Ovis aries: one gene and its partners. The protein of the gene in region 3 purifies or fractionates together with the protein of the main gene of each other region. This does not show direct contact. Links are inferred from orthologs where the notes say so. Each region holds a gene or a part of one and is shown on either strand. Other genes may lie near its edges.

What was found.
Region 1: the proteins of NUP85 (region 3) and NUP133 purify together in Homo sapiens (affinity purification with mass spectrometry; 5 studies listed by BioGRID and IntAct, with this or other methods). This does not show direct contact. The link is inferred for Ovis aries from reciprocal best matches to the Homo sapiens genes NUP85 and NUP133.
Region 2: the proteins of NUP85 (region 3) and NUP37 purify together in Homo sapiens (affinity purification with western blotting; 4 studies listed by BioGRID and IntAct, with this or other methods). This does not show direct contact. The link is inferred for Ovis aries from reciprocal best matches to the Homo sapiens genes NUP85 and NUP37.

The regions. Positions count from the first base shown.
Region 1 is NC_056078.1:1,013,886-1,017,534, forward strand, and holds part of NUP133 (nuclear pore complex protein Nup133), read right to left. Parts: intron 3,505-3,649; coding exon 3,370-3,504; intron 2,764-3,369; coding exon 2,593-2,763; intron 896-2,592; coding exon 740-895; intron 465-739; coding exon 394-464; intron 1-393. UniProt on the Homo sapiens protein: Involved in poly(A)+ RNA transport. Involved in nephrogenesis.
Region 2 is NC_056056.1:171,523,356-171,527,508, forward strand, and holds the start of NUP37 (nucleoporin Nup37), read right to left. Parts: upstream 2,904-4,153; 5' UTR 2,833-2,903; intron 1,624-2,832; 5' UTR 1,564-1,623; coding exon 1,408-1,563; intron 1-1,407. UniProt on the Homo sapiens protein: Component of the Nup107-160 subcomplex of the nuclear pore complex (NPC). The Nup107-160 subcomplex is required for the assembly of a functional NPC.
Region 3 is NC_056064.1:55,591,438-55,595,086, forward strand, and holds part of NUP85 (nuclear pore complex protein Nup85), read right to left. Parts: intron 3,032-3,649; coding exon 2,897-3,031; intron 2,804-2,896; coding exon 2,681-2,803; intron 2,480-2,680; coding exon 2,348-2,479; intron 2,108-2,347; coding exon 2,001-2,107; intron 1-2,000. UniProt on the Homo sapiens protein: Essential component of the nuclear pore complex (NPC) that seems to be required for NPC assembly and maintenance. As part of the NPC Nup107-160 subcomplex plays a role in RNA export and in tethering NUP96/Nup98 and NUP153 to the nucleus.

The DNA of each region.
Region 1 (3,649 bases), on a different chromosome or scaffold from region 3:
CACAAACTCAGGCCAAAGCTCCTTCAGCAACAAAAAAAGGACTGGAGAAGAGCCCCCAGAACCTCCACTGAGTCAGCAGAGACGACAGCATGGAACACAACCAGCAGCAGGGCAGGCAGCTCTCAGGAGCTCCAGCTATTCGAGCAGAACAGATGATCCCTAACAAGGGCAGACAGCTAATGGGACACTCAGTGGAAGGCCGAAAACTGCCAACACTTCTGAAACGAATTAGCACTGCCAGACAGAACAAAGCGATTCAATAAGGCGGAATAATATAAGATTAGGGTTAGACACATCAGAACAGACAGCAAGGGTGCTTATTATTCTATAACAAACACCAATCTGTTTTTCCAAACAACTACCTATGCTCTGCATGACAAATGAGTTGCTTACCAGTTTTGCTTCAAATCCAAATACCGAATGTTGACCCCTTCTTTAATAGCTTCATAGTTACTTTCAGATCCCTACATGAAAATATCAACAATGTAAGCTCCTTCAGTATAGAAATCATTTCTTTTCACCTTTATATCCCCAGCACCTACTAAACTGCCTCATCCACAGTAAGTCAAACTTATTGAATGAATAATGTATGCATTTAAAAAATTAAGTAAACCAGTGAGTCCCAATACTTCTAAAGATTGAATACTCTGCTTATCTGATGACTGAAATGCGTTCTACTAAAAGAACTAGCAATTTTATATAAATAAAAATGACAGAGATGAATGTTACTGTTCCTTACCCAGATAGCATCAATAATGTTTTCCTTCAGGACTCTATTTATATCCCAACTATGTGCTTGTTTTTCTGAAGAATCATCTAATTCCCATTTACTGATGTTTGAACTTGTCAGGCTATAAAAGCTCGCTCGCTCTCTATCCCAGAGGACGCTTGAAAGCTGTATGGAGAGGAGAAAAAAAGTTTATAGATTATTAAATTCTAGTGTCAGTGATGATTTTCCTGAAATTAAAAATTCATATATTTTATAGCTATTTGATTAGTAATCCTAGCAGAATTCTTCATTTAGGATTCAGGGGAAGAAGTGATCCTGAAATAGACCTTGAGAGTAAGGAGGATTTTCACAGGCAGAAGGCCCAGGAAGAGCAGAGTAGGGAGGCAGGAAAGTCAGAGGCTCTTTAAAGAACAAAACACAGTCCTGCTAAACTAGAATGTGGATTATAGCTAGGAAAGAAGCAAAACTGAAGCTCACACACAGCATAGTCTTGAATGTCAGTTTGTAAACCAAGTAAGCTAAGGAGATAATATCCATAGCTTGTGAGCACAAGAGATTTGTTACAGGAGAAGGAATCTGGAGGGGTGTGTGTAGTTCCACACGTTTATATCACTTCATCTCCCTTGCTTCTGAAGAACACATCTAACCCAACTTAAAAATTGCGTATATGTGACTGCTGAACTAAAACCCTATTTGTCTCCACTTTTCCTGTCACTATGTCTCAAATCTAGAGAAGCTGGTAAATATTCTGCCCCATAAAGAGAGGGAGACACACATACACACACAACCAGGATTTTATACCTGGGTCTCTGAAAAAGGTGACAGTGCCATTAGAAATAGGTCAAAAGAAAAATGAGTTTTGTAAGTCAATAGGAGAGAAGAGAACACGAGCAATTTTCTTCTAGACATGTTAAAGCTTACGTTCAAAGACCATTTAAGGAAGCAGATAATGACAGCAACCTGAAATCAGAGGGAAGAGCCCCACTTCATAAAGGATGTGGTACTGCAGTACTTAGCAGGGCTAATGCAAAGGGACCTGCTGCATGGCACAGGGAGCTCTGCTCAGTGTTACATGGCAGCCTGGGTGCACGGGGAGTCTGGGGGAGGATGGCTACCCGTGTATGTATGGCTGAGCCCCTTTACTGTCCACCTGAAACTGCCACAGCATTGCTACTCAGCTATACGCCTATAAAATAAAATGTTTCAGAAAAGTCGGGGGCGGGGGAAGGTGCTCTCAGTTCACACACATGTGGGCATGCATCTGTCGCTGAGCAGTTTTGAACTTTGGGCAATTTTGGTAGCCTCACTGAGGCCATTTCCCCATTTATTTAACACAAATGGGACATGAAGCTCTATATATTACGGATCACAATTATTACAGGAGATAACACACACAGGGCTCCTGGCAGAGCAGATGCCCCACTGCTCTGTTAGTGCAGTTAGTTGAAGATGTTAGTTCCCAGCATCTTCACTCACTACTCCAGAGTCTGAGCCACAGCCCAGCAGACATCATCCACACAGACAGCTGGAGGCTCGGGGGTGGAAAGCACACTTTTGGTTACGTCTAGAAAGCAAAACTAATCCTTGAACACATTTATAACTTTACATCATAGTTTTAACTCAAAAAATGAGCTTACCAGATAATCTATAAAACTTAAGAATAATTAATGTTACAGAGGATGCAAGAGGGTTAGTATGAACTCATCTAATCATCATAATAAAAATGCCTCACTGAAAGATCAAAGTTTTCATCTCACATACACCACTGTACATACAGTGGCAACGCTAACTTCATAGGAGACTGCCAACTTACTGATTTCATTAAGAAACAAGCTAGTAAAACAGTCATTTCACCAACTTACAATGAGATCACTACTAGGAGATAAGATTCCCAGAAGAGAAGAAACCTTCCGACCAATTCCTGAGAGCACGCCTTGTCCTTGAGGCAGGACATGCTGATGGATTTTTCCTATACTTTCAGGTATCAGGCGGATTAGTTGGCCCCCCGATGAGGATAAAATAAAACTTCCTCCCTGTGAACAAATGTGAAATTAGTTAAGTATTTAAGACTAAGAAAAGAAAATGAACACAAATCACTTTGATATGCTTCGAGGGAAATTATCTGTACCTCAACATAAATCTAAAGAATAAAAAAAGAACAGTGCTATTTTTAAAAAATAATTTATGAATCCATTCACTTAATACTACACAGAAAAACTTCAGAGCCATTTTTTTAATTACTTTTTTTAAATTCTGATTTTTAAGTTATAGGTTCACATTACATAGGTTCAACAAATTAAGAATCAGATTTTATTTCTTTGGTAAACCAGCAGAATATGCATTAGCAAACCAGTCTTCCTCTAAGAGTTTCTGAATCACTCTCTAAAGATGTTTCTGACAGAAACGAATACCACTGGCTACTATGCTCCACTGACAGGTCAGAGTCCCACGAGAAGGGCTTCCCTCGGCCTAAGTGCTCAAATCCTAGACTCTTACATTCTTTCCTTGCCTCCTTTTTGATCTTCTCCCAGCCCTACCTGTATGATCTGCTCGAAATCACAAATTTTTAGTCAGCCAAACCTGAATTCCAAGCCAAATGACAGTTTCCCAATAAATATAGAAGAATATCCATCGTATACCTGTACTGCTGTTAGGAAACTATAGGTCTTATCACCTCCCAGATCTACGAACGTCTCTGTGTAGGTATCTTCACTCGCAAGGCTTGGCCAATAGCGGATGGATCCTTCTCTGGTGGCAACCATGACAGTAACAGCCTGAAACAAGATCATAACACTCAGCAAACACAAGAAAAGGAGCCCAAAGCGGCGGTCTGACGACACTGACATACAGAAACCAGGGCAATGCATTACTCATGAACAGAAATCAGGGGGAAAATTCTTTTTTTCCATATTTAAAGAA
Region 2 (4,153 bases), on a different chromosome or scaffold from region 3:
TTAAATATGGGGCTGTGCTGGAGTGTGCCTGACCAAATCGATGAGTCATATGTATTAAATGTTTCAGACACTATGTAGGAACTCTACACGCTAACTTATGACATTCAGTACAGTTAAGTACAGTTCACTCTTGAAAATCATGATTTTGAACTGTGTTGACTTATATACAGATTTTTTTTCAAAACATATCTACTAGAGGACTATATGATTTGCTGTTGATTGAATCCATGGATGAGGAATCAGGGAACTATAGCTACACCTGGATGTTGACTGCATCCATTGTCCCTTACCTCCACAATGTCCAAGAGTCAAGTGTATAATTGTTCTCATTTTTATAGCAGAGAGGTTAAGTACCTGCTCAAGGTCACCTAGCTATTAAGAGGTAAAGCCGGGCAGGAACAAAAACCCAGGCATTTTGGCTCGAGAGTTCACGGTCTTAATGACTATGCTGAATTGCCTGTTCAATTCATAGAGCTCATACTCTGTATACTCTAGATATATAAAAAGCATGAAAGTGACTAGGAAAGCTGATATCATCACAGCTATAAAATCTCCTGGAAGATCATTTTTAAGCTCTCAATACTACTAGCTTGTTTTTTTTTTTCCTATGTCAAAGTGGAATACAGAAAAGCTGGATTTAGTAATTAACCAGATCTAATTGGTATTTTTCCTGCACATAACAAGGTATAGTTAATCATAACCTTCAATTACTAGAATATTCCATTTCTAATCATAAAGCATAAAGCATACATAGGCCTTATATACGTATATATGTATATAGCCTTGCCCCTGAATAGTGGGGTTTAGGGGAATGACTCCACACAGTTGAAAATCCTGGTTTAACTTGCAGTAAGTCTCCCTGGTGGCTCAGATAGTAAAAAATCTGCCGACAATGCGAGAGATTCAGTTCGATCCCTGGGTCAGGAAGATCTTCTGGAGAAGGGAATGGCAACCTACTCCAGTACCCTTGCCTGGAGAATTCCATGGACAGAGGAAGAGCTTGGCAGGCTATAGTCCATGGTGTTGCAAAGAGTCTGACAGCCCTAAGAGACTAATACTCTCATTTTTCTCCCTGTGGGCAATTCCTCGGCATCTGCAGATTCAACTAACTGTAGATTCTACAGTATCCTAGTATTTACTACTGAAAAAAAAATCCATGTATAAGTGAACTACACAGTTCAAATCTGTGTTGTTTAAGGGTCAACTGTATTCTTCCTTTTCAATACTTATTCAATGTTTGCACAAATATTAGGCATATATTCCTAGGAATGTCTTTCTCAGTAGTTCTTCATCTCATGCTTTCAAAGTTTAGTGAAAATTACCAAAGTTTGTGTAAGTTTTCTTTTCAGTGAAACATCTTCACTGTCACTCAGTGCACTAACCTGAAATGTTCAGGTTCACACTAACCTGAAATGTACAGGTGCCAATGAACACAAAATTATTGCCACCATATGCAATTAGGTTTCCTGAATCCCCACTCTCAAAGGGATTGAATTCTACCACGTGCACATAATCTTCACAATCCACAGTGTAGGCAGCATTTCTTGTGGCATCTTGCTTCATCTTGTATGGCAAAACTTGTGCAGCTGCAAAAACAGCCTTCTATTGGACAAGGTCACAGAACTGTGGATTACAGCACAGAAACAGAAACCATCAAAGTGTTAGGATGTGATGACAGGCAGCTCAAAAAAAAATTATTCAACTACTTTGTGAACGGTACTTGCAGAGAAAGTCACTACAAAATTCTGTCTAGATTATTTTAAGGACAGGGAGTACTTATAGATGGAATTACACTACTAGGAAATATACTCATAAAAAATTAATGATCATTAACATTATGGAGCTGTACCTGCAAGCGCCACCATTAAGTATTTTACTAACATTACCATGCCTGATACTTGCACAAACCTAAGAGGGAGGTACTATGGTCCCCTTTTTACAGATGAAGAAATCGGGACTTCAGATTAACTTGCTTGCCAATCTCATAAGAGGAGCCAGAATGTGAGACTTTCTAAATGTTGGACACCAGTACAAGAAAGAGAAACACAAAAGCCTGTTTTGAAAAAGCTCACAATCCAGGGTTATTTATGATTCAGTGTGAACAATACTATAAAATAAGCAGATACAAAATATACAATCTGGAGGAAGGAATGCCAAAATGGGATACAAAATAGTATTCATAAAACCAGGAACAAAACTTCAGCTAACGTTTCATGGCCTGGTGTGCATTCTGAAAGTAGCATTCCCAGATGAGACATAGATTCTGAAGAGGTCACTTTTTTGTTTTTGTTTTTAATAGGACGGTAGGGGTTGTCCTGAAAACAGCTGGGTTTGATAGCAAACACATCAAATATCTTGTGAGTATCTACTAAGAAATCATATGAGTTCCACCTCGGGAAGTCTATAACCTAGTAACCTTAAGAGTGGGCATCTGGGACTAAACAGTTGTAAAAAGTGACCAACAGGTAAGGCAGCAGTGTGGAAGTGCAAAAGATTCCAGATTAGGAAACTCCGTTTCTAACTGTTCATTAAAGCAGTGTCCAGTCTAATTACAGTCTCAGGGTCTCACTGTACAAAGCGGGCTGGACTTGCCCCTCTAAAATTGCGAAAACAGCGGAGAGAGGGAACAAGAAAAGTCCCCGCATAGCCCTGACACCTCTTCCAGAGCCACGCAAATACCGCGATACCCCGCCACTACCTCCCGGAGCCCGAGGTCGAAAGGAAGAGGGGTGGGGAACGGCCCGAGGAGAGGAGGAACTCCCAGGGATAGATTGAAGGCGCGTGGCGACCGGCAGCCGAGCCATGCCCCTTGGGCTGACGCGCGATACGCACCGGAGGGCGCCTGGAAGCAGATAGAGCCGAGCTGCTGTTCACCTTGGGCTGCTGCGGCGCGCGCCGGCTCTGCTTCCGGGTCAGAGGGCGGGAGCTGCGATTGGCTGGCGGGCCCTCCCGCGAGATTTAAAATGTAAACCTGCGCTCTCTCGAACAGTCACCCTTGTGCAGCCGGCTGGAGTTTTCTTCAGGCGAGTCTGCACCTCCTGGGTTCTCCCCGAGCCAGGTGAGTGTCATCTTTTTCTCTCCCGTCTGCAGGCTTTAAGCTGCGACTTGTGAGGGTTTTTCGGTAACAGTAGAGCGCCATGTGATTGCCTAGAGTAATATTTGTGGAGTGTTTTTGTTTTGGTCTGGGGATATTGAACAGAGTTCTTATGTTCCATTGATGGAGCTGGAAGGTGCTGAGGGATCATCTGCTGACTGGAAGAATAAGGCACAGAGCCCTACTTAGATGAGTTAATTAGGCAGGAAACCAGGATTAGGTAGACTCCACTTTCGCCCTCACCGTTTTACTTCCGCCCAAGGACCTGCATACCATGAGCAGCAACGGTGCCCTTTTTTATTGAGCACCTCCATTTACTGTCTCACTAACGTGTCCTAATTTTATGAACTAGGAGATAATCATTTCCGTTTTACAGATGAAGAAATTTATGCTCATCCGAGGTTTTAAATACTGAAGGACATACAGCCAGTAAATGAGGACCCTAGTATGTCTCTTATCCATCTCATACTGGCTCCCCAGTGACATTTTCCTGCCTTACAATTTTTGCTGCAGTGCAGCTTGGAATCCAAATGCTAAAAACAAGTGTTTAATATCGCTGCTATCTTCTACTACTCTTTGTATGTTGCAGCCTGACGTTCAGAATACTTGTATAATCATTGTCTCCTTGATTTCTGGAAGTATTCTACCTCTTCCTAGGCAGTCAGGGCTTATTCCTTGGGCTCACGCAGCCAGCTAGCTACTGAAAGAGTCAAGGCTAGAGGCTTGGTGAACTCGTGGTACTGCCTGTTTTTGTGCAGCCAGTTCGTGAGCTAAGAATGGATTTTACATGTTTGGTTGGTTGAAAAAAAAAAAAAAGTCCAGCAGAATAATATTTTATAATATGTGAAAATTTTATGATCTTTAAATTTCTGTAAAATTTTGCTAAAGCCGAGCTGTGCTCATTTGTTTATGTATTGTCTGTGGCTAGTTTCACCCACCAAGATGAAGTTTGAATAGTTGTAAGAGACCTTATGTGCTGCATGCCTCAATGTTTACTGTTGGAACCTTCCCGAAAGTGTTCTAACTCCTGAATGAGATGGACTTTTATATGTGCCAGGC
Region 3 (3,649 bases):
CAGAAGCTGGTAAACTGTGATCTCCCAGGGCCTCCCTGGGATTCCCTCATGGCTCAGATGGTAAAAGAGCCTGCCCACCATGCGGGCGGCGTGAGTTCAATCCCTGCGTCAGGAAGATCCCCTGGAGAAGGAAATGGCAACCCACTCCAGCATTCTTGCCTGGAAAATCCCATGGACTGAGGAGCCTGGAGGCTACATGCAGTCAATAGGATCACAAAGAGCTGGAGATGACTGAGTGACTACACTTTCAGGGTCTCTCTGCTCTGCCTCTGGAGCCCTGTCTGCCCCACAGCCTGGCATGGTTGACATGGCAGCATCAAGTACCCCTATAGAAAGCTTCCTTCTAGCTGAGGAAGGGTTCCCTCATTCTCCCTAAGAGGAGTGAACAGCTGACACCAGACCTGCAGCTCAAGGCTCCCCTACACCACCAGCGCCCCAGCGAGACAGAGGCGCTACTGTCCCCTGGGAAGCGAGCTGGGGCCTAACCACAACAACCCATGAGAAAGCTAGTGCTCAGGAGACCCCAGATCCCACCCTTCCTCGTCCAAGAGGGCACTCTCTCTCTGAGGATACTTCAGCCCTTCTTTCAATTAATGGGCAGAGGTCTGGGACCTGCTTTTCAGAGTACGGCAGGAAGAAGCTTACTGATCAGGAAAACCCGAGCTCCTAGATTCCGAGCTAGTGGAAATACCTCGATTTTTTTCCTGCCTGCCAGGGTAGACGGACACCCAGACTGAGGGGCTGCAAGTCTGATCATTCCTCCTTCAAGACTGGCAGGGGTGATGCATTTTTCAGCGGCGTTCATTAGCACCACGCCTCTTTGTTACACTTCTTTACCTTTTCCTTCTACAACCACTGAAAACAGCAAGGTGCTTTACCTTTTTTATTGTCCTTCCTTCCTCTTTAGCTCAAATCTGTCTTGATCCTAAAATCCCAGATGTGGCTTATGAAGGAAGCCCTCGAAGAAATAACCCACTGCCTGTAACAGACAACACATTCTGGAATGCCTATTGCTTTGAATTAGAGACAGAGATACTGACAAAGCTAAAGACTAGTGTCTGTGCCTCTGGGAGCCATCCCCACTGATCCTTCACTGCAGATACAACCCCTTGCCAAAATCAGCTGAATTCTGTTAAGTTATCTTCCAGTTCCAACCAGTCCCTATTTTAGAGGTTTGTGAAAAGAATATGGACACAAACCTTCCTTTCTCCAAGTCTAACACCATTTTCTGAATGGTGGGCCTTGGCTTTCTTTTAGCCAAACAGAAGAGCAGGTAGCATGGGTGGGGTGGGGGTGGGGGGTGGAATCGGGGAGACCTTCCCACTGCCCAGATTCACTAACAAAGAAAAGATCCAGTGTGGAGGTCAGTGAATTCAATGCCTGAGCAGGGCCACCTGCCCCAGTGGTTCCCAGCCTTCTCCCTCTGCACGAAGAGGGAGGGGAAGTTCTCTCTGACCGACTACATGTGGGGATTCTGGAAAGCTTTGCTTTGGATTCATTGTTTCACGCTCCCTTTCCTGCCTTGCTGAAGGTCTGGGGAGAGATCTGGGGAGAGGGCTGGTGTAGAGTCTCTGCTCTGAACAGACCCAGCCCCGTGTGGTGGCGTGGTAGCTCCTGGCTCACCAGAGAAGTGCTGTCCTGTAAGGTAGCTGCATGTCCATCAGGTTCCAAGAAACAAGCTGGCTGGCTATTTCTGGATTTTAAATACCATAGTAATTTCTTGCAATATTACTTTAAGTAAACATCCCTAAAGTGTAAACTGTTAAAGATACAGGAGCCTGCAAGCCTCAGGAAGGCCCCCAGGCTTGTCCAGAGAAGACACTGTCTACCTAATGTGGCGGGGGGTGCGGGTCTGTGGGAAGAAGCCTAAGACACCAACAGGAAGGAGCAGGACGCTCTGGAAAAGGACGGCGGTGATGGGCGTGTGACATGGTGAATGCACCAGCCGCTGCACTGCAGCCCTGAGGCGCCCAGCATGGTGGTGGTGCAGCGGGTCCTACCTGCACTCCTTGATCACTTGGTGGATGTCAAACTCGAACGCTGCCATCAAGATGTTGTCCAGGGGCTCTGGGCTGCTCTCACCTCCCAGAAACAGGTCAAGGCTGGACTGTGGAAAGGTGGTGACCCATTCAGTCCCTGGATGGTGGCAGAGACTCAAGGGGGCAGGCAGGGCTGCTGTGTAGGGGACCCGGGAGAAGGGCAATGGGGTCCTTCAAACTGGGCCCAAGGAAAGCCCCCTCTGTTCCCCAGGGAGGGTCAAGTCAACAAGGCCACACGGTGAAAGTGACTGGCAGGGAGTGGAGCCCCGGACGCCGACTCCCCTCCCCTCCTGGAGGAGCTGACGCACCTGAGCGTAGAGGTGCAGATCCATGGGCTTGACCGTAGGCTGAGAGTACAGCAGCCGGGTCACCAGGAAGTGATACCAGTTACTCAGAAGCTCCTTCTGCTCCAGCAGGGCGGCATCATCTCCCAGCAGGACCTGAGAAGAGACGCTGTCCCTTAACTCTGGGGACACTTCCCTGTAAGGCTCATCTCAGCTGGAGCAGCTGAGTTAAAAGCTCACTCCTTCCCAACAGGGCCCACACAGAGCCCCGTCTGAGGAGGAGCTGCTGCTGAGCTGGATGCCAGGACTCCAGGAGGAGCTGGCTTGGCCCCTGGCCAGGACCCGCTCCCAGCAGACCTTGCAGAGGGACTCGAGGTGGGGGTTGGAGGCGAACGTGCCGTCCTGGAGGTGCCGCTCGCATTCCTCGTGCCAGTGCTGCCACCTCAGCTCCAGCTCCGTCAGGGTCTGCGTGTTCCCAGGCTGTGGGAGAGACGCAGACAGGGGCGGTCACCACGGCAGCCCCTCACGCTCCCTGTATAAACCTCTCTCTGCGACCCAGGCGGCTCCACATACGCTGAGAACGGGCATGGTCCTCATCAGGTCCCCCAGGACTCGGCACATGCCTGCAGAGGTGGGGTTGGTGTCGGCTTCCTTGGAGAGCATCTGTCGGGCCTCGTCCAGCCGGCCCTGTAGCACCAAGGTGGTCACCTGGGAGGACACCAAGAACACAGCATCCAGGCGGAGGCTCAGCAGCCAGTCCCCTCAGCCTGCTTTGGCTTCCTCATCCTGGAGAAGTGTGATGGTTTCTCCGTCAGAGGTAATTTAATTCATCCAACCTTCTAGTTTCAACCCGTACCATGCTTTTCAAACTGCGTGTTGTTGTATCGCACTGCAGGTGACTGACTTTTTAAAAATGAAACAGAAAATAAAAATTACCAAAGTGCATCAAATAAAGCACTGATCTGTAAAAGTTTCAGTTAAAAGAAAAAGTTCTAGTTCAAATACTGGGTTAGCCAAATTTGGTTCAGGTTTTTGCATGCTATTTTATGGCCTGGGTTCAATTCCTGGTTGGGGAACTAAGATCCTGCTAGCCACGGCAAAAGAAAAGGAAGAAGAAGCAAGCCAAGGAAACACATGCTGCCCAGTCCCAGTCCCTTTCCCTGATTCCAAACACGCACATCCTGTTGCCAATGGCTCCACTTGGTTCACAGGCACCTTAACATGCCTCGAAATGAACACCGGGTCGCTTCCAACCCACCAACCCACATTCTTCTCTTTCTTACACATCCAATTCATTAGCGAATCCTATCACTGTACCTTTAAACT